2 linked regions of the Cricetulus griseus genome follow. The protein of the gene in region 1 purifies or fractionates together with the protein of each later gene. This does not show direct contact. Links are inferred from orthologs where the notes say so. Each region holds a gene or a part of one and is shown in the gene's direction. Other genes may lie near its edges.

Region 1 (15,337 bases):
CTGCCTTCTGTCTTTACAGTATCAAGGCTAGCAGCCTGAGGGAGTCAAACTACATACACCCAAAGCTCTCCTAATGCGTACCAAAAAGCTGTCTGCAAAGGGGAATCTTTCTAGGCCTTTGAAAGACAACTCCATCTCCCCAGTGTTGGGATTACAGGCATGCACCACCGTGCCCTGCCCCTACACTCTTTGACTGACACCAGGCAGCTGCTGGAATTGACACTGAGTTTTGGCTGTGGGAAAAGGATATGGTTTTGTTGTCCCATTCTACAGCTCAGGCTGACAGTCAACTCAGCTTCTCAAGTTCTAAGTATATAGACAGGAGCCACCATAGCCTAACCAAAAGAAAAGGGCTGTTTCAACACACCAGTTGTCTTCAGTCAGAAGGAACCCCACATCTACTGTTACTCACATGGGGATGTCTTAGTGGACTTGTTTGGTTGATGTGGTTTGGGTGCTAGGAATGGATCCAGGGCTTCTCTGGGGCTGGTCCAGTGCTCTTCCACTGAGCCTAACCCTAGCCTCCCATCTCATAGTATTAACTGGTCTTTTACCTAACAAGTTTCCACACTGATGGGCAGGTTCTGTTTGTACATATGACCACTGGGTACCTGAGAGGAGTTAGATCAACTAAAAAACTGGTGTTGTTTTAGCTAGTTGATTAACTTTAAGTGGCTACTGGCTTCTTTTCAAGCCAGCACCAACCTAAGGCATACGCATATGCTTAGAAACCAAACAGTAGTGGCCCCCAAGCAAACTGTACTTTTAAAAGTAAAGGCAGAAACCAAAACACTTCAAGAATGTCTCTTAAATGTATTTAATAAGCTATTAAATACCAGGTACCAAAGATAACAAAGAGCCCTTTCAAGGAATTTACAATATATGATTGAGGACTAGACAGATTATGTAATCACGAGAAAGAATAAGTATTCTAACAAAGATTCAAAAGGCTATAGGGGGAGGAAATGATGTTAAAAGTTATGGTACTGAGATCATAAAACGATTTAAAGAGTTTTTATTTTTTATGTAGGCCTTGAAGTAAAGGATGGTAGAATTTTGTCAGATAAAGTTAGAACAGGAAGTCAATGAAAATCATAAGCCGAAGGTACCAAGACACCATTCTACTGTAGCAACCCAGTTACGGATTAGCGGGAGTACGAGTGTGCACATCTGGCACTTGACAGGGAACCTCACCTGTCACCTCAACACATGAAAGCTCTTCCCATGCACCTACGCTATGGAGACACGGTCTGATTGATAATAGAGAACCGGTAAACAAGGCTAAGAGACCGTAAGTGCAAAGTTCAGGCACAGGGGACCTACATTTTACAGCTAGCCTTCTAATTCAGTTAGACAGGTAAGAGGGCAGAAGGAAAAGGAAGCATTCCTGACCTGAATTCTGAGCTCTCCCACTTCCAGGGGATCACAGCCGAGATTAAAAGCCAAAGTAGCAGGCACAAACACCAGTCCGTCAGCGAGTGGTTCTCCCAGCTGTCCAGAGCTGGGTCCCAGTCTCTCGGACAGGTCCCAGCGAGGTTCTAGGAGCTGTACTTTAGCCAAATGCGGCTGGGATGTGTTTGGGAACTCTCCGACCCGGGCCACCCATACCCATTCGCCCTGGAAGAGCCCGAGACCCCGGAGACAGCTCCGGGTCACACCCAGTGCATCTCCAGTCCCTCCCAAGACCCCTTTAAGTTGCCGGACTGCGTGGGAAACGGCAAAGGAGGACGCCACGGGCGGGGGTGGGAGACGGCTGTGTTGCGTACTCTCAGGGCCCAGCTTGGCCCGCCCGCGGAGCTCGGTTACAGCCAGCCGCGTCCCTGGGCCCAGCAGCCCTTGCAAGGCCGGTCGCGTCTCCAGCACTCGCGAGCCGGGCACGGGCAGGCTCTCCCCGCGGCGCACCAGCAGCGGCCCGACTCGAGGCCCAGGCCCGGGCCCGGGAGCCGAGCCCAGCAGCGCCCAGCCCAGCGCCGGAGGCCGCCGCACAGGCCGCGCTCGCACTCGCGCCCCGGGACCTAGCGCCAGGAGCCGCAGCAACGCCCGGCTCACCAGCAGCTGCGGAGGTCCCGGCCCTCGCTGCCCGTTCTGGGAGCCCGGGCCCTCCAGGGCCGCAACGAGCAGCGCGGGCCCCGCAGGGCTTTCGCTTGCTGGCCGCAGCGCCAGCACTAGGCCCAGCCCTGTGGCAGGCCACGGGCCCCCGGGCGGCAACAGCACCGCCAACGGAGGCGTCTCAGCCGGGAAGGGGTCCAGGACGCGCAAGACAGCAAGCGCCATGGCCACTGAGAAAGCCAGCACCTCCACTTCCGGAACTAGCGACCGGAAAGCTCGCGGGCGCGAGAGGCGCTTCCGCTTCCGGCAGGAAAATGGGCGGGGCGCCGGGGGCAGAGTCCGCCCCTGGGGACGACGTACAGGGCTGGTTCCCCAGCTGCCGCCGTAATCGCCGACGCATGCGCCCTTTGGGTCTGCGTGCAGGAGCCTTTACCTTTGCTTTTCGGTAGGGGAAATCACGCCCTCTCGGTTATCGTGCCCCGTAACACGTACTCAATATCTGATTGATCAAGAGTGGCTGGTGTCAAAAGTGGAAGGAATCCACTTTTTTTTTTTCCTGAGGAAATCGTAGTTTGTCCCGCTCATCTGTAGGTTTGCGGTGAACCTTGTAAGAGGGAGTTGTAGGATCATAAAACTGTTCCAGACAGGCTTGTGTGTATGCAGTTATGTAGGGGCTGCTGACTGAATCGCTGCCTGTGATTCATGTAGCCCCGCAGTTGGTGCTGCCCCCGCAGCCCCACACAAAGCCCATGTTCCAGCGCCGCGGCTCCTAGGTGTTCACTCCCGCCAAACTCTCAGATTGAGCAGTTTAACCTCTTCCCTCAAACCCGTTGCTCTGCCCTACTAACCCTCGGAGACCCATTCTCAGTTTCTACCCCAGAGAAGGGAAAGGAAAGGGCTAGAGGCTTCTGTGATGGGAACTGAGCCAACAGCCTGTACTGTGACTTAGATTTCATCTTTGTCTGCGCTCTACTGCTCCATGACATTCAGGGATAAGTCACATTTCCAGTTCACAGTTACCGAGTTTTTGCTTCCTTACATTTAGTCAATATTTTGGATGGTGGCGATCGCCTTTTTCTGAATCTTGTATTTTCTTCCAGCGATTGTTGGCCTTTCTCCTTTTTATTGCAGTTGAGCTTCTTGAGATAGTCCTTCTGTTTTATGTAGTGTACACTCTTGAAAAATCTGAACGTCAGACATCTGAAAGTTGAATATTAGAATTCAATTACATGTATTAAGGTGTCTTTATCCCCAGAAAGATGAGAAAATATTTAAATTTCTGATTATAGTTCCTGGAATTACCTGGAACTGGGCTGGGGATGTAACTCAGGTGGCAGAGGGGCTTGTCTGGCAACGGTGAGGCCCTGGTTTTGAAACCAGGTGTGGTGATACACTCCTGTCTTCCTAGCATTTGATAGGTAGAAGCAACAGTTACATAGTGAATTTGAAGCCAGCCTAGGATACATGAGAACTTGCCTCAGATGGAATTGTCCATGTGAAAGACCCCCGAAGAGGTACTTTCGTAGAGGGAGACCCACACCCAGGAATCAGCGAGGCCACGAACTGGATGCAAAAAACAAGAGGCTTTATTGGAGACGCGGGTACCCGGGGCGACTTAGCTTCTGTGTGGCTAAGCGCGCCGAGCCAAGGGAAAGGGGTCCTTATATAGGGAAAAAGGCGCAAGCTAGGAGCAGGGATTCTATTGGATAATTCTAATGAGGCATTATACAGAGCTATTCCCATTGGTCAATGTATATGAGGCGCTATACAGGGTTATTCAAATGAGGTGAAACATAGAGTCTTTCAAATGAGGCGAAATACAGAATCATTTCTATTGGATGGTTCAAATGAGACACAGAGCCATTCCAGATCAGCATATTCTCAAGGTCTGGTGTCTGGTGTCTGGTACAGCAGACTCAATCCCCCCCCCCTTCCTGATGGCTGACCTTGGGGGCGGAGACCTTGGGACGGAGTGTTTCTCTTCGGGCGGGGGCTCAGGGGTAGGGCTCCAGGCCAGCTCACTTGGTGTTCGTGCCGACCCACCTGGTGCTCGCCCTCGTGCCGGCCCACCCGGTGCTCGCTCCCGTGCCGGCCCACCCGGTGCTTGTTCTCGGGCCGGCCCACCTGGTGTTTGTTCTCGGGCCGGGCATGCGGCGGGTGGCGGGGGAAGGCCGCCGGGGGTGGGGATCGGGGAAGCCGCCAACAGGAGGAAGAGGAGACAAACTTGAGAAAGAAAGGGCTAAGGGACAGGGGTCTTTCACATGGTCTCTTTGTATGTTCATGTGTCCATGTACACATGTGTACCATGTGCACAGGTGTAATCTTATTTATGCATATATGTCAACATTCATGTGGAGGCCAGATGTTAAGTTCAGGTTGTTGGGTGACAAAACTTCTTCTGGGGAGATGCAACTCATGTCTTCTTACCCCAGATAGGGATCCCACAACAGCCAAAGCACAGATACCAACAAACTCCAGCTTGGTGAATTCACACGAGCAGAAATGACTCAAAGACAGCTGCATCACCAAAGCCCACCCCCAGCGTAGGTTGCAACTCACAGGACTGGGAACCTGGAACACACTACACAGCCTGTAGGCAGCTCATCAGGTTGGAGAGTATCCTTTGCAGGTGCCTCATGTGGTCCAAACTTTTTCTAGGTGGTTTGGCTGGTTTCTGTTTCTTTGCAACTTGGCTTCAGTTCTCTGAGAGGGACAATCACACTTTACTGCTTACTCTGGCAGGGAGGGGGCCTAGTGAATCTTGCCAGTTTCAGGGACTTCCTGAAGTATTTTGAGTTGTTTATCTTCCTGCTTAAGGAGCTTCCTGCAAGATGGCTCTCTGGACACAGATATCTGCCTGCCTCTGCCTTCCAAGTGCTAGGATTAAAGGTGTGTACCATTACCACCCAGCAACAATGGAATGTTTTATTTTGGGAAGATGCTGTTATGGAACACGTGTCTTCTGAAATTGCTCTCCACAATACTGTTTTGAGGCAGGGTTTCACACTGTACCTAGAGCTAATTAATTTGGCTGGACTGGCTGGCCAGCAAACACGAGGAATCCATTCGTTTCTACCTGGGTCAGTGCAGGGATTACTGATGAGTGACACCAAATCCCAGTGTTTTCACATGGATGCTAGGGGTGGCCTCTTGAGTATTGAACTCGTGTTCTCATGCTTTTGCAGCAAACACTGATGATGAAAATGATTTCACCATCTTCACAGCCCTTGCTTCTCAGTTCTTGAGGGCTGGTCTTGAACTCACTATGTAGCCAAGATTGGCTCTAGACTCCTGATCCTTCCTCCTCCATGTCTCAAGTACTGAAATTATAAGTGCTCTACCATGCCTGGATTTCTCTTCTTTCAGTTTTTTGAGACAAGGGTTCTCTGTGTAACAGTGCTGGCTGTCCTGGAACTCAACCTGTATACTAGACAGGCCTCAATCACAGAGATCTTCCTATCTCTGCCTCCTGAGTGCTGGGATTAAAGACATGTACCATCATGGTGATCTCTCCTCAGCCTCTTGAGTGTGAGAGTTATAGCTGTGCACCATCATGCCTGGCTGAACTGGTGCTTGCATACACATGGGGATTGGCTCCAGGGCCTCACACATGCCTGACAAGCACTTTACCTACTGAGCTGCGCTCCCAGTCTCTCATTTCAAATTGCAAAATGGTGTACACAAAGGGACTAGGACTGCACATGGTTCTGCTCATCTCTGAACCCAGTTCTTCAGAGGCTGAGGAAAGAGAATTTCAAGTCCAAGGCCAGCCTGAGGTACACAGCAAGACCCTGTAGCAAGAACTACAAAAAATAAGGTGCTGGGACTTGGATTTACACAGATGAAAATTTTCATTTTCAGCCTAAATGTATGTCTCTGTCCCCGGCTTCCTGAAGGAACCAAGGACTGTAGGTTTAAAGAGGACACAGTCACAGACAAGCTTTCTGCATCATGAGGTTTTGGGTATAGGCAGGAGATTGCTGTCCTGCCTCAGTTACACTCATACAGGCACAAATGTCCACCCACAAATAACCATCTTTCCCTCCCAGGCTGGTTGCTTGCAAATAATAGTAGAAATGCCATTCACTGTGTGTTGCCTTGAACTCATTGTTAGTCATAAAGCTAATGCCATTTCTGTATGAGAGCCAGGATGCTACATTTGCTGTCTTTACCTCATGCTCACTCTTCAGCCCACTATAAACTTCTACTCCTCTGAAGCTTCCCTGGCAAAAATCACCAGACACCTCCTAATTGCAAAAAAAAGGTGTTACTATTCAGTATTCATCATACTCTGTCTGCCTCTGGCCAATCCTTACTACCTCTGTCATTATGACACCAGTTTCCTCTGACCATCTCTTATCACTTATGAAAGTCATCCTTAACTCCTCCTTTCTCTTATACCATCTCTCCCCCAGTCCAATGAATCTCCAAATCCTGTTGAGTGTACACATCTCCTGATCCCACCATCTTTTTCATTTGTTTTTAAATTTTTTATTTATGTGTATGTGTCTATGTGAGTGTATGCCACCTGTGTGCAGTACCTATGGAAGCCAGAAGAGGGTGTCAGATCCCCTGGAGCTGGAATTCCAGGCAGCTGTGAACCAGTTGATGTGGGTGATGGGAGCCCAACTTGGGGTCTCTGGAAGAGCAGCAAGTACTCTTAAACACCCATCCTTGTCTCCAGCCTTTCTTTCCCATTCTATTAAAATATTTATGTAAAATTATGTGAATGTGTGCAGGTGGTGCAGGTACAGAGTCTAGAAGAGGATATCAGATCCCCTGGAGCTGGAGTTCCAGGCAGCTGCGAACCAGCTAATATGGATCCTGGGAACTGGATTCAGGTCCTCTGGAAGAGAACCAAGTGGGTTTTTGTTTGTTTGTTTGTTTTTTCGAGAAAGGGTTGCTCTGTGGCTTTGGAGGTTGTCCTGGAACTAGCTTTTATAGTCCAGGCTGGTCTCGAACTCACAGAAAGCTGCCTGCCTCTGCCTCCCCAGTGCTGGGTTTAAAGGCGTGCGCCACCACCACCCGGCTGCACCAAGTGCCCTTAACCACTAAGCCATCTGTCTAGCCTCTCCCTTTCCCATTCTTCTGGCCGCTGCTCTCTGTGTAAGGTTCATTGGCTACTTATTTGCCCTACTGTAGGAATCCAGGGCCAGGGCCTCTTACATTCGGCACAAGCAGGATTACTATTATTATTATTATTATTATTATTATTTTAACTTTTTAGTCGTAAGTTTTTTGTTGTTTTGTTTTGAGACAAGGTCTTGGTGTGGTTGAAACTGGTCTCAAACTGGCTATAACTAACGCTGGTCTGTAACTCCTGATTCTCCTGCACCTTCCAAGTGCTGGGATTACAGGAGTTAGACACCACACCCGGCTCCCACGGGTTTGTTTTTGATGGATCTCCTCCAGTTTCTTAACATAGTCGGTTGGCTACTAGGGTAACAAATATATTCCTCCATGCCACTCTGAGGTTTGTGTAATTTATGGCATTGTATTTTAATCATCTCTTATACAAGTCTGTGTACCTCGGCAGAGTGGGAACTCCCTGAGGGCAAGAACCCAGTCTTACCCACTAGAACACCAGCTTGGGTGCGGCAGCGGCACAGGTAAGGACGGGATAGGTTTTTTAGGACACTGAAAGATGAGGCTACTTTTCCACTTCATTCTTAGTGGCTCAAATGCAGCTGGTTTACCGAGCCCGGCCGGCATCCTTGCAGTAGATACCGGGACCCACTTCTTGAAGCTGCAGCAAACCAGGTGTTCTCATTTTATTTCAGTCGGATTCCACCGCGGATAGGCTTCCGCTCTGCTCCCTTGCAGCTGTGAACTAGGACAGACTTGCTGAATGCTCAGGAGGACCCTTGGGAGTCTTCTCTATCAAATGGACGTGTGCAATTTGAGCTACTTAAACTCCTGTGAAGAGAAGAAAGGTGCCCTTTCCTGTTAGGGCCTCTTTCCTAGAGTTCGGACGAGGCAGGGCAGGTAGCAGAGCAGGGGAAAACGTGAGAGCCACTTCTGGAGGGAAGGAGCAGAGCTCCAAGGAATGAAGAATAGCAGAGGACGACGCACAGGTGACGCTGGAGAGCAGCATTGCCAGCCAAGCTCGGGTTTCCCCGTGGCCCCGCCTTCTTCACGAAGCCCGACCCTCTCTAGGGCGGGACCTTCCCCTCCAGCCAATTCTGGGAGCCGAACCCTGGCGGTTTGTACTCTTTCTTTCCAATGAGAAAAAAGGGAAGCAGCTTGGCTCCAATGACCAATCCGAGGAGGCGGCGCCTGGTTGTCAGGCAGGTTTGTAAGAGTTAGGGCCAATTGGAGGCGCAGCCACCGCTCGGCCCGGGCGCAGCGCGCAGGCGGTGGCGAAGAGACGCCGAGCGGGCCGAGTGCGGCCGAGCAGAGCCGGAGCCGGAGCGGGGCCGCAGGAGCCGGGCCGGGTGTGGACCGGCCGAGATGCCCTATAAACTGAAGAAGGATAAGGTGAGCGTGGCCTTTGCCCTTGCGCCTCCGCCGCGGGGCCTGCGTGGAGCTCTGGGAGGGGCCCGAGGCAGGCCCGGGACAGCCTGAGACTGACCCTCCGGTCCGGCCCCCCGCAGCACTCCCGGAGCCAGCCCTTGGGCCGCATGTCTGGCAGCACCCCCAGCCCGTGCAGCAGCTGGGACAGCTCTCCTTCTTTGCCCCGGACAGATTCCCCCCACCTATCTCTTTTCCCTTCCTCTTTGCTCCTACCCCTGGCCCCCTCCAGATCTGCTCCACTCCCAGCTCACTCCCTTGCTTTTTCTCCCCGCCTTCCTCTGTCCCCGATCCCCCACGGGTTTGGGACAGCCCTCATCTAAGACTGCATCTTCCTCCAGTACTACCCCCACCCCCGCCCTGTGCAGCCCCTTCCCTCCTCTCCTCACTAGCCTATAAAACGGCCTCTTCACAGTTCTGCACAGTCCCTTCTCCCTCCACGACAAGCCCCTGACCTAGAACCGCTCTGCTTTTTCTCTCCTCCGCCCAAATCTGGCCTAGGCCCCTCCCTCGAGTCTTCCTTTACACACAAACTTGTAAGTCAGGACTGAGCCCTTCCTTCTGTTGATGGAACCCCAGAACGTCGGTGCTGGAAGGCAGCTTTTGAGCACATGCATTATAGTCCCTAGTGGTACAGATGAGGAGACTGAGGCTGAGTCAAGAGAAGGGACTTGTCCAAGGTCACACATCCTGCTGGAGGCCCAGCTGCAATATTAGGTCTCCCGACTTGGAGGGCTCTTCTGTGCAAGTGCCTAACTGGTATCATCTGGCTTCTATGGTCACCCTAAACCAACAGGCTCCCCCCCCCCCCTTATCCCTTAGGATAACCTTTGCATTTCCTTTTTTTTTTTTTTTTTTTTGCACCTGTGCTGGATTTCTCTCCTTCTTGAGTTATATTAAAGCAGGAATCTGCGGGTTCTGTTTAGTTTTCTTACTCTGCAGCCCAGCCACCCCTGGACATTCGTACTTTGTCATAATGCCCTTACACAAGCCATTTCTTTATTTGCATAGAGATCAAACCTAGGGTCTTGCAAATTGCTAAGCATGTGCAGTACCACTGAGCTACACTCCCAGCCCCACAGGCCCTTGGTTGCTGTTGCCTTCTTTCATTTTCTTCCGTCTGCATACTGCCTTTACCTATATCCTTCATCCCTACCCTTTGTTTCCTGCTGTTGCTGAGATCTGACTCAGGTGTGGTTCCTCTGAGGTACAGACTTATCCCAGGATGCTAGGGATAAGCCTCCCCCAGCTTTCCTTCTCTTGGGGCTGGTTCTGGCCTGGTAGTGTGGTCCACTCCCCTGAAGATCCCAGAGGTTGATTGCATTCATTGTCCCCCAGTTGAGTTGTGGTGCTACCTCCTCACCTTATCAATCAAACTCTTTATCCTGGGGCTGTCGTGGATTTGCCAGGTAGCTCTGATTATGGGTTGTCACCATAACTTCTCAGAGACTGAGATTTAGAGCATAGAGCTGGTAATGGTATCCTAGGTGCTGAACTTCTAAGGTGGTGAGCTGAGCAGAGTTGTGGGTCCTACCCAGTCCCGTCCTTGGGAGTGGGTTTGCCAAGATGGTTTGGGTCATTCATCCATAGAAACTGCACATTCAAGATAGCTAAGCTGGAAACTGATGGGTCAGATTCTTATCTGTCTGTAGTTTTTTGTCTGTGGATCAGATCCTGTCCCATCTGTAGAAAGCCTTTGCCTACTGGATGATTATAAGCCATGAGGGATTTGGTTGAGAAAGGGTGTTGGGAGGATTGGGATCCATGGAAGCAGGCATGGAACCCTTTATGAGATTAATCTCCTACACTGGCCTCCTTAAAGTTCTGAGGGGGAGAGAGAGATAACAATGTGACTCGGGTGTACCAGGATGAAGGCACAAAGACAGGTGGGTGGAGGCTCCTTATTGCTCATCCATCATCACCTGTCCCCATTCTCCTTTATCTCTGTGGTCCCAGTGCTCGCTATCCTTCACCGTTTCCTCTGTGACGTCGGCCTGAGCCTTCATTTACAGACTCTCTGTTCAGCCCTGGGTACAAATGAATTGTAGACAAGTCTTGTCTTCCTCCTTGAGGTAGTCACTAAACTGTTGAGGTTTGGCATCTCCTTGCACACAGTAGGTAGGTGCTGAGTCAGTCTGTGGAGATTTGCACTATTCTCTTCTGAGGTTGGATTTGGGTCTTTCTATTTTCCTACATGAAGTATCCTGCTCCCTCCTGCTAACTTATTCACGACAATAGACTTAACCAGCATTGGGAGTTTATGTGCCAGACTGGGCTAAGGGAAGTGGCTCCTATTGTTGTGAGGATAGTGAGGACCAGAGGCTAGTTACCTCCTCATTCTCGAATAACTGGTAAGAGTTGAGCTCAAACACGGCACTGGCTTTAAACCCCAGTGCCTCACATCATGTGACAGCTGGGCCGGGCCACAGTGTGTGTGCTTCACCTGTTCTTCAGCAGGCTTGTGGGCCCTGTTCCCCTACACCCACTCACACCCACACACCAAGGCAGCTGAAATCAGGCACATTGCCTGAGATGTTTCTCAGACGTCGTGCAGTGCCATAAGGTGGGTGGAGGGGACAAGAAAAGTAAGCAGCGTATGATGAAGTGTAGAGACCAGACTTGCGTGAAGACAGGTCAGCTTTGTTGGAGGGCTTGTGTCTGTTGTGTGCTGTCAGTCACTTTGCTGTGGTGTCATGGCTGCACCTCTTTTTTTTTTTTTTTTTTCCTCTACCACTTGCTGTGAGCAATTGACAAGAGCCAGTGTGGCCAGCCCTGTGAGTAGGCAGGGGGAGAGTGCTCAGCCCGAAGAAGCCCCTTCCCCTTGCACAGCACCAAGCCACTCCCCATCTGAGAATGGTTTTCCTCTCCACCCCCGGGAAGCCTCCCCCCTGTTCCAGCCCACACAGAACTCTCTTCTCCCTGAGATCCGTTTGCCCCCATAGTCACAATCATTTGATTTAACACTTCTTGCTGAGGGGCTTGGCTGGTGTTGAATTGCAGACTCTCAGAGCTGGAAGTGATTTCCAAGGTCCTCCAATCCAGCTCTCATCTAAGGCTTGAATCCTTTTGAGACACATCTCAGAGGAGGTCACCCAGCCTCTGCTCAGATGCTCAGGCCTGGGAGCTTTCAGCTTCACTGGGCAATCTGTTTCCTTACGACACTGTGAGAAAATCCACCCTTGTTGGCCTCAGTCTATCCTCTTTCAGTGTCAGTGTCAGCCCATTTCTCTTGTTCCTCTGGGTCCATGAGGATAGATTGTGTCTTTAGTACACATGGCAGCCCTCCCTCTGCCGGTTAAGCTTCATCTTGCTCCCCCACCCTTCTCCCTTCTATTGTTAACTATCCCGGTTCCTGCAGCTGTTGCACTTTAGGCTGAGCCTTTGAATACACTGCTAGAATGGGCTGCATTTCTCTTTACAAGTAAGGATTTCTTGTTGCTCCTTCACAGGCTCATGCTCATGACCAAACTAGACCCACTAGCTTGGTTCTGTGGGGGCCAAGACTCCACGTAGGTCTGTTAAGTGGGTGGAAGTTCCCAAGGCCTGCAGTGGACACCACAGCATTGATTTGTGTTGAGCTTGCAGTCAGAGCTGCATCCTCAAGTCTTTCACATTCTCCCCATCCTGTCCCTGTGTGGTTGCTTTTGTTTTGGCCCAGAGCATGGGAAGAGATGGCTGGACAGGGCTCTGAGCCAGTTGCCAGGTTCCCAAGGGAACCTTTAGATTGATGCTCACAGTTTGTTAACAATTCAGGACTTCACCTCCATCTCTCGGCCACTGTTTGTTGCCCGAGGCGCTCTTGGGCAGAACCCTTCTAACTGTTAGCATCCTGTTAAATACCTACAGCACCCTCTCTTTTGGCTGCTGCTCATGACATCTAAACAGAAGCCTCTGGGTCTTTCTGGATGGCCCTGAGGGGAGAGAGGTGGTTTCTGCGTGGAAGACTTTGGCACCTCTGATCAGGCTGCTCAGATGCTATTCCAGTAAACTGTCTCACCTTAGTTCTTCCTGACTGAGGCTTCCTAACCCTAACCCATTCACTAGCCTGGCGAGGAGACAGATGAAGACTGCTGTCATGCTTAATCATTACATTGAGGTTGGCTTCCTAACCAGAATCTAAAGTCCTTAGAGGGGCTCAGTCTCCTTTGTGTGTCCCACGGTCAATATAGTAGGATTTTTTTTAAATTTATTTTTGGTTTTTTTAAGACAGGGTTTCTCTGTGTAGCTCTAGCTGCCCAGGAACTTGCTCTGTAGACCAGGCTGACCTTGAACTCAGATATCTACCTGCTCCTGCCTCCTGAGTTCTGGGAAGAAAGGCTTACACTACCATGCCCAGCTGATACAGTAGGTTTTAATTGAATCAGCTGGATAGTTCGTAGTTAAAACAAAGAAGGGGGGGTGGTCAGAGATACAGCTCAGTGGTAGAGTGTTTGGTAGCATAGATAAGGCCCTTGGTTTGATCCCCACTACTAAAAAAAATAAAAAATAAAAAGATTTTAGAGATTCAGGCAAGGCCTCTCCTTTCTCCTGGTCTTTACTAACCCTAATTCCATCTTCTCCCTGCAGGAACCTCCCAAGCTTGCCAAAGGCACAGCCAAGCCCAGCAGCTCGAGCAAAGATGGTGGAGGGGAGAACGCAGATGAGGTAAAAGATACACACATGGTCCTGGTTCCAGTACAGGTGCTAGCTGCAGCTCCTTGATGGCTGGGGGCAAGAGTCTGAGGGAGACAGTTACACAGGCAAAGGCTTCTACAGCCTAGATGGGAGAGTAAATCTAAACTACTTTTGGACAGGAATTGGCTGGTATGGAACAAATAGGTACTCTAATTCTTTCAAGTTCCTTAGATTCTCATGGAAGTTGTTTTCTGCCTGCACTTTTTAGTGTTGGTAACTCCCTTCTCAGTGAATGGGGGTATGGCCAGTAGTGGTCCCATGCTTAGTATGCTTAAGGCCTTGGGTTTAATTTCCAGCATGTTCAAGTGTATGTTGTAAGGATGTCTTTCTTGGGGTAAAAACCATGGAAAGAAGTGAGGTCCATTTAGGCATGTCTGTAAGTTCATCATTTGGGAAGTTGATGATCACAAGTTTGGAGCTAGACTGTATGACATAGCAAGACCCTGACTCAAAAAGGGGTTGGGGGTGCTGGGAGATTTGTGGTCCTGGAGAAAAGGGGCAAAGTCCACAAATGCTTCATGGGATGACAAGTTACTTTGGTATGGATCTGGGTGGGGCAGGGGCTGGGGATACTTGGTGTCCCTGAGTTGTGCAGGGCTGGGTCCACTGCTGTTGGTCTCAGTGTGACCAAAGGACAGTTATGAACAGAGGTCAGCACAGCTCAGCAATCTAGGGCTATAAAGCAATAAACAGGCAAACAAGATAGCCAGAGAGTAGAGGGGCTTGGGGAAATTCAGGGATGCCCTTGAACATCTGGGGACAGTCAGTGGTGTGCTTTGTTTGCTGAACAGTCTTGTGAATGTGTGGGAGCTGCTGTCATTCTCTCTGCCTTTTCCTTCCTGCTCTTTGCTGCTCTAAACTGTTAGGAAGCAGAAGTCTTAGTTACTGGGTGGTCTTGGGCCTTCCCTGAGAAAGGAGATTGACAAGTGTTTTGGTTAACTATTGATTTAGATTTTCCAGGCTACTTGTTGTTCCTGTCCCTTCTAAAGAGAAACTGGAAAATAGTTGAGTTATTGACCAGTATTAAAAACGCCAAGAGAGACTCAGAGTCAGGACTTAAAGGGAGAGGAAGAACACTTAGAGGCCCTCCTCACTAACATTCTTGTAGTTATTAGGCACCCTGGTTATTATCTGCTTAGAGAAGCCTGTCTTGACCACTCACCTCCATCCCCAGGGCATGGCCAGGTCCCCTCCCTGTGAGTTGCTGTTTTGTCCCTCAGTCCCTTGGCTGCACTTCACAACTGTAGTTAAACAGTTCCTGGTGAGCTCACTGTGTATTGGTATGGGAGCTTCTGGAGGATCTTACTTGCCTGGCCCAGTGTGGGCACCCACATTTGAATGTTGTAGTGAGTGAAGAGTGGACTAGTGAATGAGTGAGAACTCACTCACTGAATGGGGAATGAAGTCAGGAGTGTACTAAGGTCTGCTGCTGTGGTTTCTCCAGGTCAGGGACATGGTCTTAGTATCTCTAGAAACGGAGGGTGTCACATTCACCCTGGGCTCTATTTTATGAAAAGCTTCCCCGGGCTTATCTATATGAGGTAGCGACAGGAATTTTTCTTCATGACTTTTCAGAAGGTGCTCTTGTATGGATGGCAGACAGATGCCAAGAAAATTGGGGACCAGGTTGGGAGGCCATGGTCTTTTTTTTCTTTTTATGTGTTTTTTTTAATTTTATTTTTATGTGTATGGATGTTTTGCCTACATGTATGTCTGTGCACCATGGTCATGCCTAGTATCCGTGGAGGCCAGAAGAGGGGCATTAGGTCCCCCAACAGGAGTTGCAGGTGGTTGTGAGCAGCTGTGTGGGTGCCGTGCATCAAGCCTGGGTCCACTGAACAGCTGCCAGTGCCCTACACTGCTGAATCGCCATCTCTCCGGCCCTGAGACCATGGTTTTAATGCTGTTCACCACATCTCTCCTGCACACCTTTTTCTAGTATAGAATTTTGAGCTTCTCTGGCCAACTCTTAACTATGTTACGCACTTGCCAGAAAGTATTTTTCAAATAATCCTAATAATTGTAGCAGCTAACATTTACTTTATTGAGAAGTTATTTTGTATTGGTTTATCAAAGCAGCCAAACAGATTACCATATATAGGTG
Region 2 (15,450 bases), on another chromosome or scaffold:
TTCTTTTTTCTTCCCCATTAGTTTATAATGACTGCAAATGTCATTAGTTCTATCCATATGCTCAATATGGGGCTATCCACTGTCAATAGACCACTTAACATAAACCATATTTCCAAGAGAGTAACCCTCTGCTAAGGGTGGAGCCTTAGGGGCCCCACCCCAACCATATGGAATTTTGATTGGCTCTATCTTGTGCAAAGTCTTCCACAAATAACCACCGCTACTATGAGTTGATGTGTATGGCAGCCACATTATATCTGCAAGTCAGCATATTAAGCTCTTCTCCCAATCTGCCAGCTTTTACATCCCTTTGCAGTTGCTCTTCTGTGATGTTTCCCGAGACTTTGATGGGCTTGAGGCTGATACAGATTTGTCCACAACTGAGTGCTCACAGTTAACTTACACGTAGAATTTTGATGAGTTATGAGTCTCAGCATTACTACTAGCCACTGCAAAAAGAAGCTTCTCAGGCTGGAGAGATGCTCAGAGGTTAAGAGCACTCTTGCTCTTCCAGAGGTCCTGAGTTCAATTCCCAGCAACCATGTGATAGCTCACAACCATCTATAATGAGTTCTGGTGTTCAAGCCTATATGCAGCATACATAATAAATATATAAATCTTTAAAAAAAAAGCTGATGAAAGTTGAGAGCAACACAAATTTATGACTTTTAAGTGTTTAAAAAGCAGTTTGGTGGCGCACGCCTTTAATCCCAGCATTCGGGAGGCAGAGGCAGGCAGATCTCTGTGAGTTCGAGACCAGCCTGGTCTACAAGAGCTAGTTCCAGGACAGCCTCCAAAGCCACAGAGAAACCCTGTCTCAAAAAACCAAAACAAAAAATAAATAAAAAGCAGTTTGGTGACATGACCATTTAGCAAAATAATAGGTTCCCCTCTAAGGTGCATGATCTCCCCAGTCATTAGCTTTTGATAAGATTTACACTGTCCTATCACAAAGGAGTTGTTTACATATCTAACTACCAGGCCACTATTGCACCACTGGGCACACCTTGCCAAGAAAATTGGTATTGTAGAATGTATGATCCAATGATGGATGAGACCATTAATGTATTTTCTCCCCCCCGATAACTTGTATTGCACTTTTCAGCACTACAGAAACTAGCCAACTGAGAAAGTTTTCTGGTCAGTTGAGATTGATTGATTTCTCTATGTCCTGTGTCCAAAGCGAGTGGTATCTTCACCAATAGAGTCTTACCTCTAGTTATATGGTGGACAACTGTTCCAGTTTCATTCTGTTGAAATGATAAAACACTCTGACTAAAAGCAAAGAATTTATTTGGCTTACACTTCCAGGTTACATTATTGAGGGAAGTCAGGACAGGAACGCGAGCAAGAACTGGCAGCAAACACCATGAAGTAACGTTTGCGGACTCACTCCCAAACCCATGCTTTGCTAACCTTATATACCCTAGGACCACCTGCTATACACAGCTGACCCTCCTACATCAATTAATAAGGCAATCTTCCATACCTGGGTTGGTTTATTTGTGTCCCCTATTTTATTCCATTGTTCTGCATGCCTGTCTCTGTGCAGGACCATGCTGTCTTTGTTAGTACAGCTCTGTAATATAATTTGAAGTCCAGTACTATGATATTTTCAGCAGGGTTCTCTCTATGGTCTTGTGTTTGCATATGAGCTTTTGGGCTTTTTTCCAGTTCTATAAATTTCACAAATTTTGCCGGGCGGTGGTGATGCACGCCTTTAATCACAGCACTCGGGAGGCAGAGGCAGGCGGATCTCTGTGAGTTCGAGACCAGCCTGGTCTACAAGAGCTAGTTCCAGGACAGCCTCCAAACCACAGGGAAACCCTGTCTCGAAAAACCAAAAAAAGAAAAATTCACAATTTTGATGGTTATTATGTTGGCTCTGTAGATCCCTTTGGTAATATAGCTGCTACACAACATGGATTCTGTCAATCCAAGAGCATGGAAAGTCTTTCCTTTGTCTGATATCGTCTGTAATTTCTTTGTTCATTGTATGGAAGTTTGCATTGTAGAGGTTTCACTTCCTTGGTTAGGTTTTTGCCCTGTATTCTTTTTCAAGCTATTGTGAATAGGATTTTGTTTCTATTTTTTTCCCTCAGAAAATTTGTTATTGGCCTATATTGTGGACCATTATCTTTTTCTGGTATGTTGGTTTTGTATCCTAAAACTAATGAAAATGTTTACTTAAAGAGTTTTCTAATGGAGTCTGTAGAGTCTTTGAAGTGTAAAATCATGCCATCTGCAAATGGAGATAATTGGACTTCATCTTTTCCTGTGTTTGTGTCCTTTATATCTTTTTCTGTCTTGCTGTTCTGACAAATAAGAGTGGAAAGAATAGTTACTCTTGTCATGTTCTGGATTTTAGAGGAAATGCTCTCATTTTCCTTCATTTAGTATAATGTTAACCATAGGTCTGTTGTATACAGTTATTATTCTGAGGTGTAGTCTAACTAGTCCTAATTTTTTTAGATCTTTTATCATAAAAGGGTTGTGTTAGGTTCTCTCTTGCTATTGATAAAAGCACCATGACCAAAATCAACTTGGGAAGTAAATGGCCTATCTCAGTTTACTAATTGTAGTCTATTATCAAGGGAAATCAGGGCAGGAGCTGATGCAGAGGCTATGGAGGAGTGCTGCTTACTGGCTTGCTCCCATGACTTGCTCTTCTTACTTTTTATGGTTCCCAGCACCACCCGCCCAGTGGGTGTGTGTCTCTCTGTCTTACACACACACGCTGCCACAGTGAACCAGGCCCTACTACATTAATCATCAAGAAAGTGCACCACAGGCAAATCTGATGGCAGCATTTTCTCAACCAAAGTTTCCATATGGCATACAAAATGTATTGATTTTAGGGGCTGGAGAGATGGCTCAGAGGTTGAGAGCACTGACTGCTCTTCCAGAGGTCCTGAGTTCAATTCCCAGCAACCACATGATGGCTCACAACCATCTGTAATGAGATCTGGTGCCCTCTTCTGGAGTGCAGATATACATGGAAGCAGAATGTTGTATACATAAATAAATAAAATGTATTGATTTTAGTGTGATAAACCAACCTGGTTGTGATTTATGATCTTAATATGTTCTATAAGTTTATTGGCAAGTATTTTGTTGAGAGTTTTTATTGAAAAAAAATTCATACAAAATATTCTGACCATGCTTTTTTCCGTCCCCGCCCTCCCAGATCCTCTCTGTTCATGAGGGAAATTGGTCAGTAGTTTTTGTTGTTCTTTATCTGGTTTTGGTTAATAAGGTAATACTTCCTTCATAGAACCAATTTGGCAGTCCACCTCTCCTTTCTATTGTATAGGATAGTTTGAGAAGTGGTAGTGGTAAAAGTTTGGGAGCAGCAGACTCCTGATGGCATGTGAACATGCCACCTGGAGAGGTCAGAGGGCTCCAGCTCCTCTTGCACCCACGGCACCCCTACTCATGCCAACTCCAACTAAAGAAGTGAGAGGACTTGGAACTCACGGCTCCCAGCACTTGTAACATCTCTCATAACCCTACCCACTCTTAACTAGTGAAGTTAGAAGACTTAAGACCCCCACACTTAATACTTCCACTGCCCAGCACATACCCAGGCAGGTCAAACTACAAGAGCAAAATCTCTTGACCCTGGCTCAAACTTCTGCCTATTCAACAAATGGTGCTGGCAAAACTGGGTTTCTACCAGAAGTAAATGAAATTAGATTCATATCTTTTGCTTTGTACAGAAATCAATTCAAAATGGGTCAAAGACCTAAATTTGAAGCACAAAACATTAAAACATAGGGAACATTCTTCAAGATGTTGGGGTAGGCAAGAACTCTGAACAGAAAACCAGTAGCACAGGAACTAGCCCCGAGTATGAACAGATGAGACGATATGGGAATTAGAATGTTGCTGCAAAGTGAGGAGCCTCCCAGTTGAGCACACAACACACTGGATGGAAGAAAAATGTGTACAGCTTTACTTCAGACAAGGATATAACATACAGGACTCAGAACTGTAGAAATTAAATACTGAGGAAATAAAGCTGCCAAATGAATTAGTGAATTGAATAGACAGTTTTCAAAAGTAGAAACACAAACAGCCAATAACTATTTTTAAGAAGTGTTCATTGTCCTTAGCCAGCAGAGAAATACAAATTAAAACTTGGAAACACCACCTCCATTCATAAATTCTACCACCAATAAATCTGGCAATAGAGGTTGGAAAGATGGTATAGGCACCGAGTGTACTCTTCTTGCAGAGTATCATGAGTTCAATTCCCATGTCAGGCAGATCATAGTTACCTGTAGTCCAGGTCCAGCAGATCAGCACATTCTGGCCCCTCAGCATCTGTACTTATATACACATACCCGCCCACAGATACATAGATCACATGTATCACAAGGCAGAGGCAAGTGGGTCTTTGGAGAGTTCAAGGCCAGCCTGGTCTACAGAGCTAGATCCAGGACAGCCAGTGCTACACAGAAAACTCTTGTCTTGAAAATTAAAAAAAAAAAAAAAGATAGAGCTACTGGCTGGCTGCTTTGCTTATCTGATCTTCAGGCAAGCTTATTAAGTCATAAACAATATATCATCACATCTGGGCTTTTACCTTTCTCTGTATCTATATTTTCCCTTATTCTGTGGTTGGCTGGCCCCTGGAGTCGTCCTCTCCATTTTTCGTTTCATCTCTCCTCCTAGAATTCTCCTATTTATTCTGTCTGCCTGGCAGCCGTGCCTATCCTTTCTCCTGCCTTGCTATTTGCCATTCAGCTCTTTATTAGATCAGGTGTTTCAGACAGGCAAAGTAACACAGCTTCACGGAGTTAAACACATGCAACAAAACAATGCAATACATCTTTGCATCATTAAACAAATGTTCCACAGCATAAACGAATGTTAATATTCTACAAGAAGTCAAGATACTTTGAGCATAATGTTTTTTTGCAAGCTCTTTACAATAAAGTTTTAATAAGAAAATAATACAGCATGTGAAATACTAGAAACATTTCAAAGCAATTTATAATTCTAAGAAAGTGAAAAAACATTGTGTTATAATTTATTGGCTATTTGCACTCATTTTGATTAATGTCCTATCCATATCATTTGCCCATTTATTTGGGCTTTTTTTTTAGTTCATTATTTATTCTAGTTATCAATCCCTTGTCAGATATGTCAGTGGGCTGTGTGAGGTGTGGGAAACCGAACACAGTGCTCCTGCCACTAGGCTAACACCATACCACATCCCATGCTTGTACACCAGTTTGTGAATCTTCCCTCATCTGTGAGATGGAGGATAATATTTACTTCATGGGGTTATTGAAGAATAACATGTAGCATGTAGAAAGTGCTCTAAAAAGCTCTTTGCTTGCTAGATGTAATAATGTGCAGCGTGGTCCAAACACTCCTTGAGGCAAGAGGGGCACTTCAGCAGCCTGGACAGCATAGAAGGGCATCTGTGAGGTGAAAAGAGACTGAAAAGAGCCGCATGAAGATTAGCATCTGAAAGAGGCCAGTTGGCAAAGACTGGAAGCCCTTTCCCATCTAACCCACTGAGCAAGTGTGAGAAAAGCCTGCCATATTGGCACAAAAGTGGGAACAGAGGGTGCTATGCTAATGGCTTGTAAGAGCTCATCAACCCTGGGGCCCAGTGCCTTTGGAGCTTTCCCCACAACTTGGGAATGTTTGCCCTTTCTTAACAGACTATCTTCTTCCCTGAGCATCTGGACTTTATTTTTCTCAGAAGCCCCCTCTACTCCTACTACCTTGCAGCTAGCTCCAATGCAGATCGTGCCTCCTTTTTTTTTTTTTTTTTTTAACGTGCCTACTTTCTTGAGCATGAGGCTTCTTCCTCTTCTCCATCTCCCTCCTGCTCAAAATTGCCAAGATCTGCTTTTCATGCGCCCAGTTGTTTTCTCTCAAATTCTGATAAACAGGTTCCCAAGATTCCTTCGGGTTTCAAAATCTTATTAAGACAAAGAACCCATTAAAAGGAGCCCTGAATTCCCTAGTAGTACCAACACTTAACAAGTGGGACTTAACCGTAAAACACAAAGCTGAGGCAGGAGGATCATAAGTTCTAATACAGCTTGTGGCACACAGAACTGTCTCAGGGTGGGAAGTGAGGGGGAACAGCATTACTTTCTCCTCTACAGCACTAAGTAAAACATTTCAGAAGAAATATCTTCACAGAAATATCTCCTACTCACCTCCAACGTCCACTCACATCAATTCCAAACACTTGTTTTCAAGGACCGCCTTCCCTCACAGCCTCCACCTGTGTTTTCCCATTTCTCCTCAGGCTACATTTTCTGATCTCCAGAGATTCAGGAACTAATTCTCACTTCACTCTGAGCTTTTCAGGCTTAGGAAAAGCCTTCATCCTTTAAACCTGTGTGGTCTAAGCTCCTAAGAGACTGCAATCATTGTTAACAGAGACCTCTCTCTCTCTCTCCCTCCCTCTCTCTCTCTCTCTCTCTCTCTCTCTCTCTCTCTCTCTCTCTCTCTCTCTCTCTCTCTCCCTTCCTCCCTTCCTCCCTCCCTCTCTCTCTCTCTCCATTTCTTCAGGCAACTTCAAAGGGTTTTTCCTGGAGAGAAAGTTTAGGATTCAGTTCAGATGACATCCTTTTGATGAATTCTGCAATCATTCTCTAAAATAAGGAAATTAATATATTGCTGAACTACTGAACAGACACTTTTTACATTTCAGCTTTGAGCCAGGTGTAGTAGGAGGTGGAGACAGGAGCATTAGTTCAAGGTCAGGTCATCCCCAATCACAGAGCAAATAGCTAGCCTGGAATACAAGAAACCTTGTCTAAAAAAAAAAAAAAAAGAAAGAAAAAGAAAAAAAAAAAAAGTCAGAGTGCTTGCGTACAAGCCTTGCAACCTGAGTGTGATGCCCAGACCCCACCTAAAGCTGGAGAGAACCCACTCCACAAAGTTTTTCTCTGACTTGCAGACTTGTGCCCTGGCACAAAGGACCCCCTCATGATATTAAATATTCTATTTACACAACTGACAAAGATTGTGTTTATTTCAAGTGATGACAAATCTGCCACTTGAGGTAGTTTGGGGGTTACCCCATGCTGAGAAAGTGGCAAAACCTACTCAGGAACACGCCTTGTGATAAAGGGTGCTGTTTGCCACTTGAGTTCAGCAGAGGCTGAACACAGTTCAGACAGAGGAAGTATGGTCATTTAGCACAGTTTTACAAGGTCTCAGTGGCTAGCCCCTGCTATATAAAGAAATCACTAATTACAACCAAAGTATCAGTTACAGCAAAGAATGTCAAGCTGGAATGGCCACAGATAACTTTAGAAATCACTTTATGGGTTGGAGAGATTAGCTAGCTAAGGGGTTAAGCCTAGCCATATATATATATATATATATATATATATATATAATATATATATATATATATATATCTTTAAATGCCAGCACTAAGGAAGCAGAGGCAGGAGCATCTCTGAGACCGAGGCCAGCCTGGTCAACAGAGCGAGTTCCAGGACAGCCACAGCTATACACAGAAACTCTATATGGAAACATACAAAAAAACCAAAAAAGTTTAAAAGGTTTACTCTTGCAGAGGCTCCAAGATCCACTTCGGATCTCCCTAAGCACCCGCACACACGCGACATAGACATAAATAAATCCTTTTATAAAACATTATTTTATCTCCGGGCGGTGGTGGTGCACACCTTTAGGTAGAGGCAGGTGAATCCCTGTGAGTTCGAGGCCAGCCTGGTCTTCAGAGTTAGTTCCAGGACAGGCTCCAAAGTGATACAGAGAAACCCTGTCTCGAAAAACAAACAAGAAAGGGTCCGAGATTTGGGGCCTCGCAACTAATTAGTGCTAAGAGTAGAAACTAACTCGATACAGATCTAGTGCCTGTTCTAGGACTGTGAAATGTTGAGAGGAAAGCCCAAGCTTCCCAGCTCCCCGGCGCAGACGGGGGTCCAAGGCTAGAACCGGATTCCCAGAGGGAGGAATGGGAAGGACGCTGGCCCGGGGCCCCCGAGGACCGTTTCTCCGCCGAGCCGCGCGAGGGCGCTGCTCGTCTCCTCGTGAGCCGAGCCCGGCGGCCCCGCCCACTCGCCTTTTCCCGGCGGAAATGCCGGGGCGATGACGGAAACCCGGAGGGAGGGAAGAGAAAGAGCGAGAGAACCCGGGCCAGAGCGCGGAGAGGCCTGCGGGCGGCGGCGGCGGAGGCAGCGGGCGGACGCGGTCGGGCCGGAGCGTCCCCCGAGCCGCGCCGCGCTGCGCGCTCCGAGCCGTGTGCCCTTGGCGCCCCGGGGCGCGTGGCCGGGCCGGGCGGGGCGGGGCGGGAGCTCCCGGAGGCCGCGGCCCGCAGCTGCCCGCTGGGCTTGGGCGGGGCGCGGGCTGCGCGCTCCGCGGCTCGGTGGTCCCGCCGGGGGCCGGCGGCGGCGGCGGGGGAGGCGGCGGGGACGCGCGGCTCGCCGCCATGGACGACAAGGCGTTCACCAAGGAGCTGGACCAGTGGGTGGAGCAGCTGAACGAGTGTAAGCAGCTGAACGAGAACCAAGTGCGGACGCTGTGCGAGAAGGTAGGCGGCCCGCCGCGGAGGCGCGCGCGGGGGAAACGGGCCCTGGCCCCGCCTGGAGTGCGGAGTGGGGTGCGGGGACCTCTCCCCCCCCCCGAAGATCAGGCAGCTGCAGCCTCCTAAAGACACGGACGACTCTCCTCAAAGTCGTTAACACTGAGACTTGGTTAGCGTGGGATTGTTCGCGGGTGACGGGGGCGGGGAGGGGGGCTCCGAAAACCACGGAGTGCATGAAGCTTTTGTTTGCACACTAGTGGGCGTGATGGCAGGCGGCCCTTCAGCCGGGCTCACTTCGGTGGAGGCTGGTGGTGGCTGTGGTCTTGGTGGTGAGTGGCTCTTGGGACGGATGGTTTCTTTTTCAGGAAGAAGGCAGCAGGTGTTGAGTTTGGAATCCGTGTTTACTGGCAAAGAGAACTGGGATGTGTGCTATTTATAAGCTCCAACATTACAGAAAGTTACTTCCATTTTTACCGCGAGTAGCCCACACACACACACACACACACATCCTTAGACCTTGCAGGTGATGGATTGGGGGGGAAAAGACCTTCTTGATCGTGTTTCCGTAGCTTTCAGAAATCTGTATCCACTGATTTATTAATTGCTGGAATTTTTAAAGTCTACTTTTTCATTCCTCTTTTATATTTGGACTAAATCTCGTCCCTGTATTTTCCTGTTAAAGAGTCCCACAAAAGAGTAAAGGAGTTAATTATTTCACGCGTGAATCTATACATTTTTCTTAGAAGTCGGGATACTACTAAAGAATTTTGTCCATCTTATTTATAAACACTCTTTACTAGGGGTGGGGGGGCAATAACCCATGGAGTGTTTTTCAAGAGTTCGGTGTTGTCCAAGTCCTTTTTGTATTCAATACTTAGCCCAGGAGAGTGTCTTCAAGTAGAACTGTGGAGAAAATGGTGTTCCCCCCACCATGAAAGTGTTTGCTTCTAGCCTCAGCTAACTTTTATTTTTCTTGTGTGATAACCTATAGTTTCATAATTCTCAAAATTAACCCTTTAGATGATCTCTCTCAAGCTAGTGTCACCGAGCTGTCCAGTTTGGAAATTGGCTGAGTCAGTCAGCCTTATTGTAATTGTGACATCCAAAACTGAAGGTACAGAGCAAGAGGTGGCTGAATCAGTTCAGGGTTCCCCTTTGACTTTGTAGTAATTTTAGGATCCGTCCTTGCAGAAGGTTGTTCCACTGCTGTGAAGTGTCACGTTTGAGTCTTAAACTCTTAGGAAGCTTTCTGAATCTGCTTTTTTAAAAAAATCGTTTTTCTTTTAACCTTGGCTTCTAAAAATCTGGATTACCAGTTCGTAGCACCATGTAGTGAATTTAAGCTGACATCTTAGGCTGTGAGTGAGTTTTCTTTGCAGATGAACACTAATTCACAGAGTATCACCCATTCCTTCCTCCTCTAATGCATAGGATGGAGTTGCTTGTAGGAGAGGCTTCTTAATGCCCCTTTTCACCATCTGTGGTGTGGGGGGAGATGGGTGTGTTTTCTTTAGTCCCTAGTCCCTTTTTGTAATAGGTTTAAAGGTTTATTAATTTTTAATTATGTGTCTGCGTGCTTGGTGCTCATGTCTGAGGAATTCAGAGGCGTCAGATCTCCTGGAACTGGCTGGTGGTGAGCCACGTGATGGTGGGATCCTGGGAACTAACCGAACTCTGGTCCTCTGTAAGAGAGTACAGGTCTTACCTGCTGAGCCATCCTGTCTCAGTCAGCCTGTTGGAATTCAGTACACCCGATGCCTATCTAAGGCAGGGATGATACTTAGCTTCTTTCAGGTGGAAGATCTCAAGAGGCTCCTCATGCAGCCCCACAGTAAGTGAGCACTCAGGGAACACTAGCGAATGAGAAAGGCTATGTGCTTTTTCAGCTCGTTTCAGTTGTCACTCCACTTGGGAAAGAAATGTAAAATGGATGTGTTGAGACTTCTGGTGATTGGACTTGAAAGGAGATTTTGTGGCCCTAACCAAAACTTCGTGTTTCCTGTTACCTTCAGCACACAAACTACTGGGGTTTATAGCAATGTTATAAAATAAACAACTTTACTTCCCAGTTGGTCTTGTGGATACTCTACCTTTCCAGAGCAAGAATGTCTTGTAGGAAGGATGTAGGAGAAAGTCAGACGTGCACATCACCTACCTTTAATTCCTTTTGGCTAGTCTTTTAGTTTTTTCATGTGTGTATGTATATAATGTGTTTGTAGTGCACATGGCAGGCGGATGAGGGGTCAGAGGCCTACTGTGAGGAGAAGGTCCTCTCCTTCCACCTTATGTGAGCCCTGGGGATCGAACTGAAGTCTTCAGGTTTGGGCCTCGAGTACCTTTACCTTCTGAGCCATTTCTCGGGCTAAAAGAGTTATTAACTTTTTATGAAGAGCAGGTCTCAGGATGTAGTCCTAGCTGCCCTGGAACATTTATGTAGACCAGGCTGACCTCAAACTCTGCCTGCCTCTGCCTTCTGGGTGCTGGGATTAAAGGGGAGCACCACCACGCTTAGCCCACCAAATTTTTTTAATGATATGCTTTTTTTTATATTTTGTTTGCTGTAGCACTCTGTAGAAAGAAAGGTTTTTCCCCTAGAAATTAAATTCCTATCATAATTGAGCTTGTCTGAAATGGAAGTAACTGAAGTGGTCCTGTTAAGGCCCTGTATGGGGTAATGGCGGTCAAGCTCTTCCCACTGTCGGAGGGTAAATAGCTTCCATAGGGCCAGCACAGAAAGGTGTCTGCCTTCTGAAGTGAATGGCTGTCGCTCATCTAAATTAGCAGCCCAGAGTCTGAAGTTAATTGTGAGTCTGACTCTTCTGTGGGCAGAAATACAGCTTCTGGAACTCCTTCCTGCGATGACAGTGTGCACAGCAGCTTTTAAAGATGGTGTGCTGGAGGAGCCAGGCTGGCCCAGCCAGAACGTTCTGTGACTACAACTATATTTAACTCTCATCTTGGGAAGAGTAAAAAAAATTTTTTTGACCTGTTAAGCTTTATTTTATAACTGAAGAATGTTTGTACGATAATCCAGGGGCAAGAGGGGGGAGCTGCTTCCTGTTTTGGCAGGTACCTGTTTTAATCTTTAATCAGAAAACCTGAGGCTAGTATAGAAGTAATGTGTAAATTCTAGGGCTAGAGAGATAGCTCCCAGTTAAAGGCTAGGCTCACAACCAAAAGTGTAAGAAATACATGTGAACTCTATGTTGGATTGATGGTGTGTTTCATAGCTTGGCTTCAAAGCCTCCTAATCGGACACTGAAAATTTAAGTTCATACTGTGAAAGAGCACACACCTCTAAAGTGGAAGAGCAGATCATTGTAGAAAGAGCATGTCAGTTGAGATACTCCATTACTCTCTGTGCTAGATACAACTTTAAACAAAAATAAATGTGCTTTTAACGGGGTGTGGTGGCACACACCTTTAGTTCCAGCACTGTAGAGGTAGAGGCAAATGGATTTCTGTGAGAAGAGGCCAGCTTGGTCTCTGTAATGAGTTCCAAGACAGCCAGGCTACATGGAACAGACCTTATCTCCCAAAGCAAAAAAACAAGGTGGTTGTAAGTGCTAAAAACCCTAAGTGGCTATATAGCAAGTTTCAGGACAGCCAAGGCTTCGTAGTGAAAGCTTGCCTCAAGAAACAAAAACAAAAAAGACAAACAAAAAGGCATAACTGCTATGTTCATTTTACTTCATTTTTTACTGGGGTCAGGGTCTTACTACATAGCTCTGGCTAGCCTGAAACTCACCAGGATTGACTCAGACTCTGGGGGCTCCACCTGCTTCTGCCTCCCTGAGCACTAGGATGATAGGTGTGAGACACTGTGGTGGTAAACATTTTAGAGTTTTATGTGAACAGGGTTAATGCCGGCCTTGGTGTCCATTGATAAAGTCTGAAATACAGGGATGTAGAACCTGTTTCTGGCTATACCAAAGAATGGCATGGCTACAGTAGGATGAGCTTATATGCTGACTGAGCAGATGAGTTTTCCAGCCCATCTAAGCCACTCCCTGCTTAGACTGACAGGTGAAGAAATTAAACAACATGAGACTAACTAGCATAAACTAGTGACTAGAAAGTGGACTTTGGGGGGCTGGAGAGATGGCTCAGCGGTTAAGAGCACTGCCTGCTCTTCCAAAGTTCCTGAGTTCAATTCCCAGCAATCACATGGCGGCTCACAACAGTCTGAAATGAGATTTGGTGCCGAACACTGTACACATAATAAATAAATCTTTAAAAAAGTGGACTTTGTAAAATCAGTGATGTGTAAAATATGACTAGGTAGATAAAGATATTAACATTATAAAGTTTATTTTCATTGAATAGTTTTATATGCATCGTATAACTTTTGTTCAAATTTTCCCTTAGGTTTTTTTTTTTTTTTTTTCCTTGCAGTTTGTTTTGCGTAGTATTGCTGTGGGTTGGTTATGTAGTGCCAGGGACAAAACAGACTAGGTAGCTCATTACGAAGCCAGTTTGATGGGCTTGGTAAATGAAGCCAAATGCCTGAATCACAAGTATTAGAATCACAAGAAATTCGAATCCATGTTAAGGAGGGGTTTTGAATTGACTTTCTTTTACTTCCTTAAGTAAATAATGAAATACAAACCTAGTCTAGGTTATTGAAAATAACTTAGCTAAGGGCTGGAAAGATGGCTCAGCAGTTGAGAGCAATTGTAGAGGACAAGGGTTTATTCCCAAAACCCCCGTGTCAGCTCACAACTGTCTGTAACTCTGGTCCCAGGAGATCCATTGCCCTCTTTGGGGCACCAGGCACACATGTGGTACACAGACAATGCAAGCAAAACAATGTAAACATGAAATGATAAATCTAAAAAAAAAAAAATTAACTTGTGAAATTCTTTTTTTTTTTTTTTTTTTTTTGGTATTACTATTGGTGATCAAATGTTACCTTTTCCTGAACATTACTTTTCAAGTCTATTGTTGGTCATACTAACCTTAGAAAGGAGGTCTGTATAGTATAGATTGTTACCTTTCTAAGAAGAGAGAGCTCAGGGTTGGACTTGGTTTGTATCTTTTGTCTTCTGTAATAATCTAGCATCCTTGTTTTTTCTAAAAAATTTATTTGGAAGTAGGGGCACAATATATATATATATATATAATATATAATATATATATATATTTATATATATGCATGTTGTAGCTATGAGAAGTCAGGACAACTTCCAGGAGTCACCTCACATCACCATGGGGTCCCTGGGATCAACTCAGGTTGCCTAGTGGCAAGGACCTCTGCCCACATCTTTAAAATCTTTAATATGATTGACTTTGTGACTATATAAACATGCAGATGGTGCAGGCCTGTAGCCCTAGTTCTTGAGTGTCGAAGGCCAGCCTAAACTAATGAGAACCCTGTCTCAGAAAAGCCAAAATGCATCAATTATTAAAATCAGGGTTTGTTTTTTGTTTTAATGAAAGGATTTTTTAGAGGACAGAGGTAAGATAAAACGTAGGCTTGGTTTTTGAACATCACTGTCCTAAAATTTACTTACTTGTGCTAGAGGGCACAAGTCCCAGAATTACATTTCTCTGACTCCAACTTCAAGAGTTTAGAAAAATTGAGGGCTGGAGAGGTAGCTCGTGGGTTAAGAGCTTGTATTGCCCCTGCAGAGGGCCCAGGTTTGGTTCCCAGCAACCACATGGTGGCTAGGAGCCGCTGTAACTTCAGTTCCAAAGTAAGGCTCCAACTCCTTCTTGGGCCTCCCAGGCACCTACATTCACATGCACATACCCACACATAGACAAAAATAAAAGCTTTTTTTAAGTAACAATAACTTAAGACACTCCACATTTGATACTCTCTGTAACATTCAGTAAGGTACAGGAAGGACTCTTAAGAACTCCCTAGAAGTTGTTAAAGTTACAATTATAATTTTTTACTATAATTGGAAAATAATACAAATTAGGACCAATCAAGGTAGAAGAGAGATGTAGGGCAGAGTGGATGTTGATGATGGATATATTTGCGTGAAGCACTTCAGTGCTGTGGGCTGTGTGGTGAGCATGGCCATACTTGGAAAACACAATTGTGGTTTGTGAACTTGGTAACAGTTGTGCATGGACCATTCACAGGCTTCAAATGAAATGACATCATTTGTCTTTAATTATGATTTAAAAAGAAGAAGAAGAAGAAGCAAAGAAACAGTAGTTGTTCAAATGATTTATAGACTAGCAGTAAAAAATTGTTTTTTAATTTGCTCACAAAATACTGATGGAGCTGGGAGTTGGGTCAGTGAGCAAAGTACTTGTCATGAGGGTCTGAGTTTAGACTCTAATACCTATGTAAAAGCCAGACATGGGGGTGCTGAAGATAGAATCCTAGGAGTTTGCCTGGCCAGCCCATCTAGCCTGATATGTGGGCTCCAGGTTCAGTGAGAAACCTTGTCTGAAAAACTGAGAACAATAGAGGACGCCTGGTGTCAATCTCTGGCCTCCACACTCACCTGTGTTCACACAAGAATACTGCAGTACTGTGTTTACACACACACACACACACATACACTGTGTGTGTGTGTGCTCACGTGCATGTGCACAAATATGTATATAGTGTGTATGCATTTGAATGTGTGTCACTAAGTGGGAGTCAGTGCTCTCTTACCATATGAGTCTTAGGAGTAGAACTCAGGTCATCAAATTGACGGCAAGCACTTTTTCTTATCTGTTACCCACTGGTCCTGGTAACTGACATTCAAACCATGTTGTTGAAGGCCTAATTGGTAACCATGGATATGGCAATACATGTATTAGAATTGTGACAGATGAATGGGACATGTGGTTCACACCTTTAGTCCCAGAACTCGGGAGGCAGAGGTAGGCAGATTTCTTGTTTGAGGCCAGCCTGGTCTACAGAGCAGAGTTCCTGGACACAGAAACCCTGTCTCAAACAAAACAAAAAA

What was found.
Region 2: the proteins of Ppp2r5d (region 1) and Ppp2cb purify together in Homo sapiens (affinity purification with mass spectrometry; 8 studies listed by BioGRID and IntAct, counting the BioPlex papers as one, with this or other methods). This does not show direct contact. The link is inferred for Cricetulus griseus from reciprocal best matches to the Homo sapiens genes PPP2R5D and PPP2CB.

The regions. Positions count from the first base shown.
Region 1 is NW_023276806.1:256,117,745-256,133,081, reverse strand, and holds the start of Ppp2r5d (serine/threonine-protein phosphatase 2A 56 kDa regulatory subunit delta isoform), read left to right. Parts: upstream 1-8,363; 5' UTR 8,364-8,499; coding exon 8,500-8,526; intron 8,527-13,125; coding exon 13,126-13,203; intron 13,204-15,337. Other genes in the region: Pex6 (peroxisome biogenesis factor 6), read right to left, coding at 1,393-2,274. UniProt on the Homo sapiens protein: The B regulatory subunit might modulate substrate selectivity and catalytic activity, and might also direct the localization of the catalytic enzyme to a particular subcellular compartment.
Region 2 is NW_023276807.1:51,184,680-51,200,129, reverse strand, and holds the start of Ppp2cb (serine/threonine-protein phosphatase 2A catalytic subunit beta isoform), read left to right. Parts: upstream 1-8,378; 5' UTR 8,379-8,437; coding exon 8,438-8,539; intron 8,540-15,450.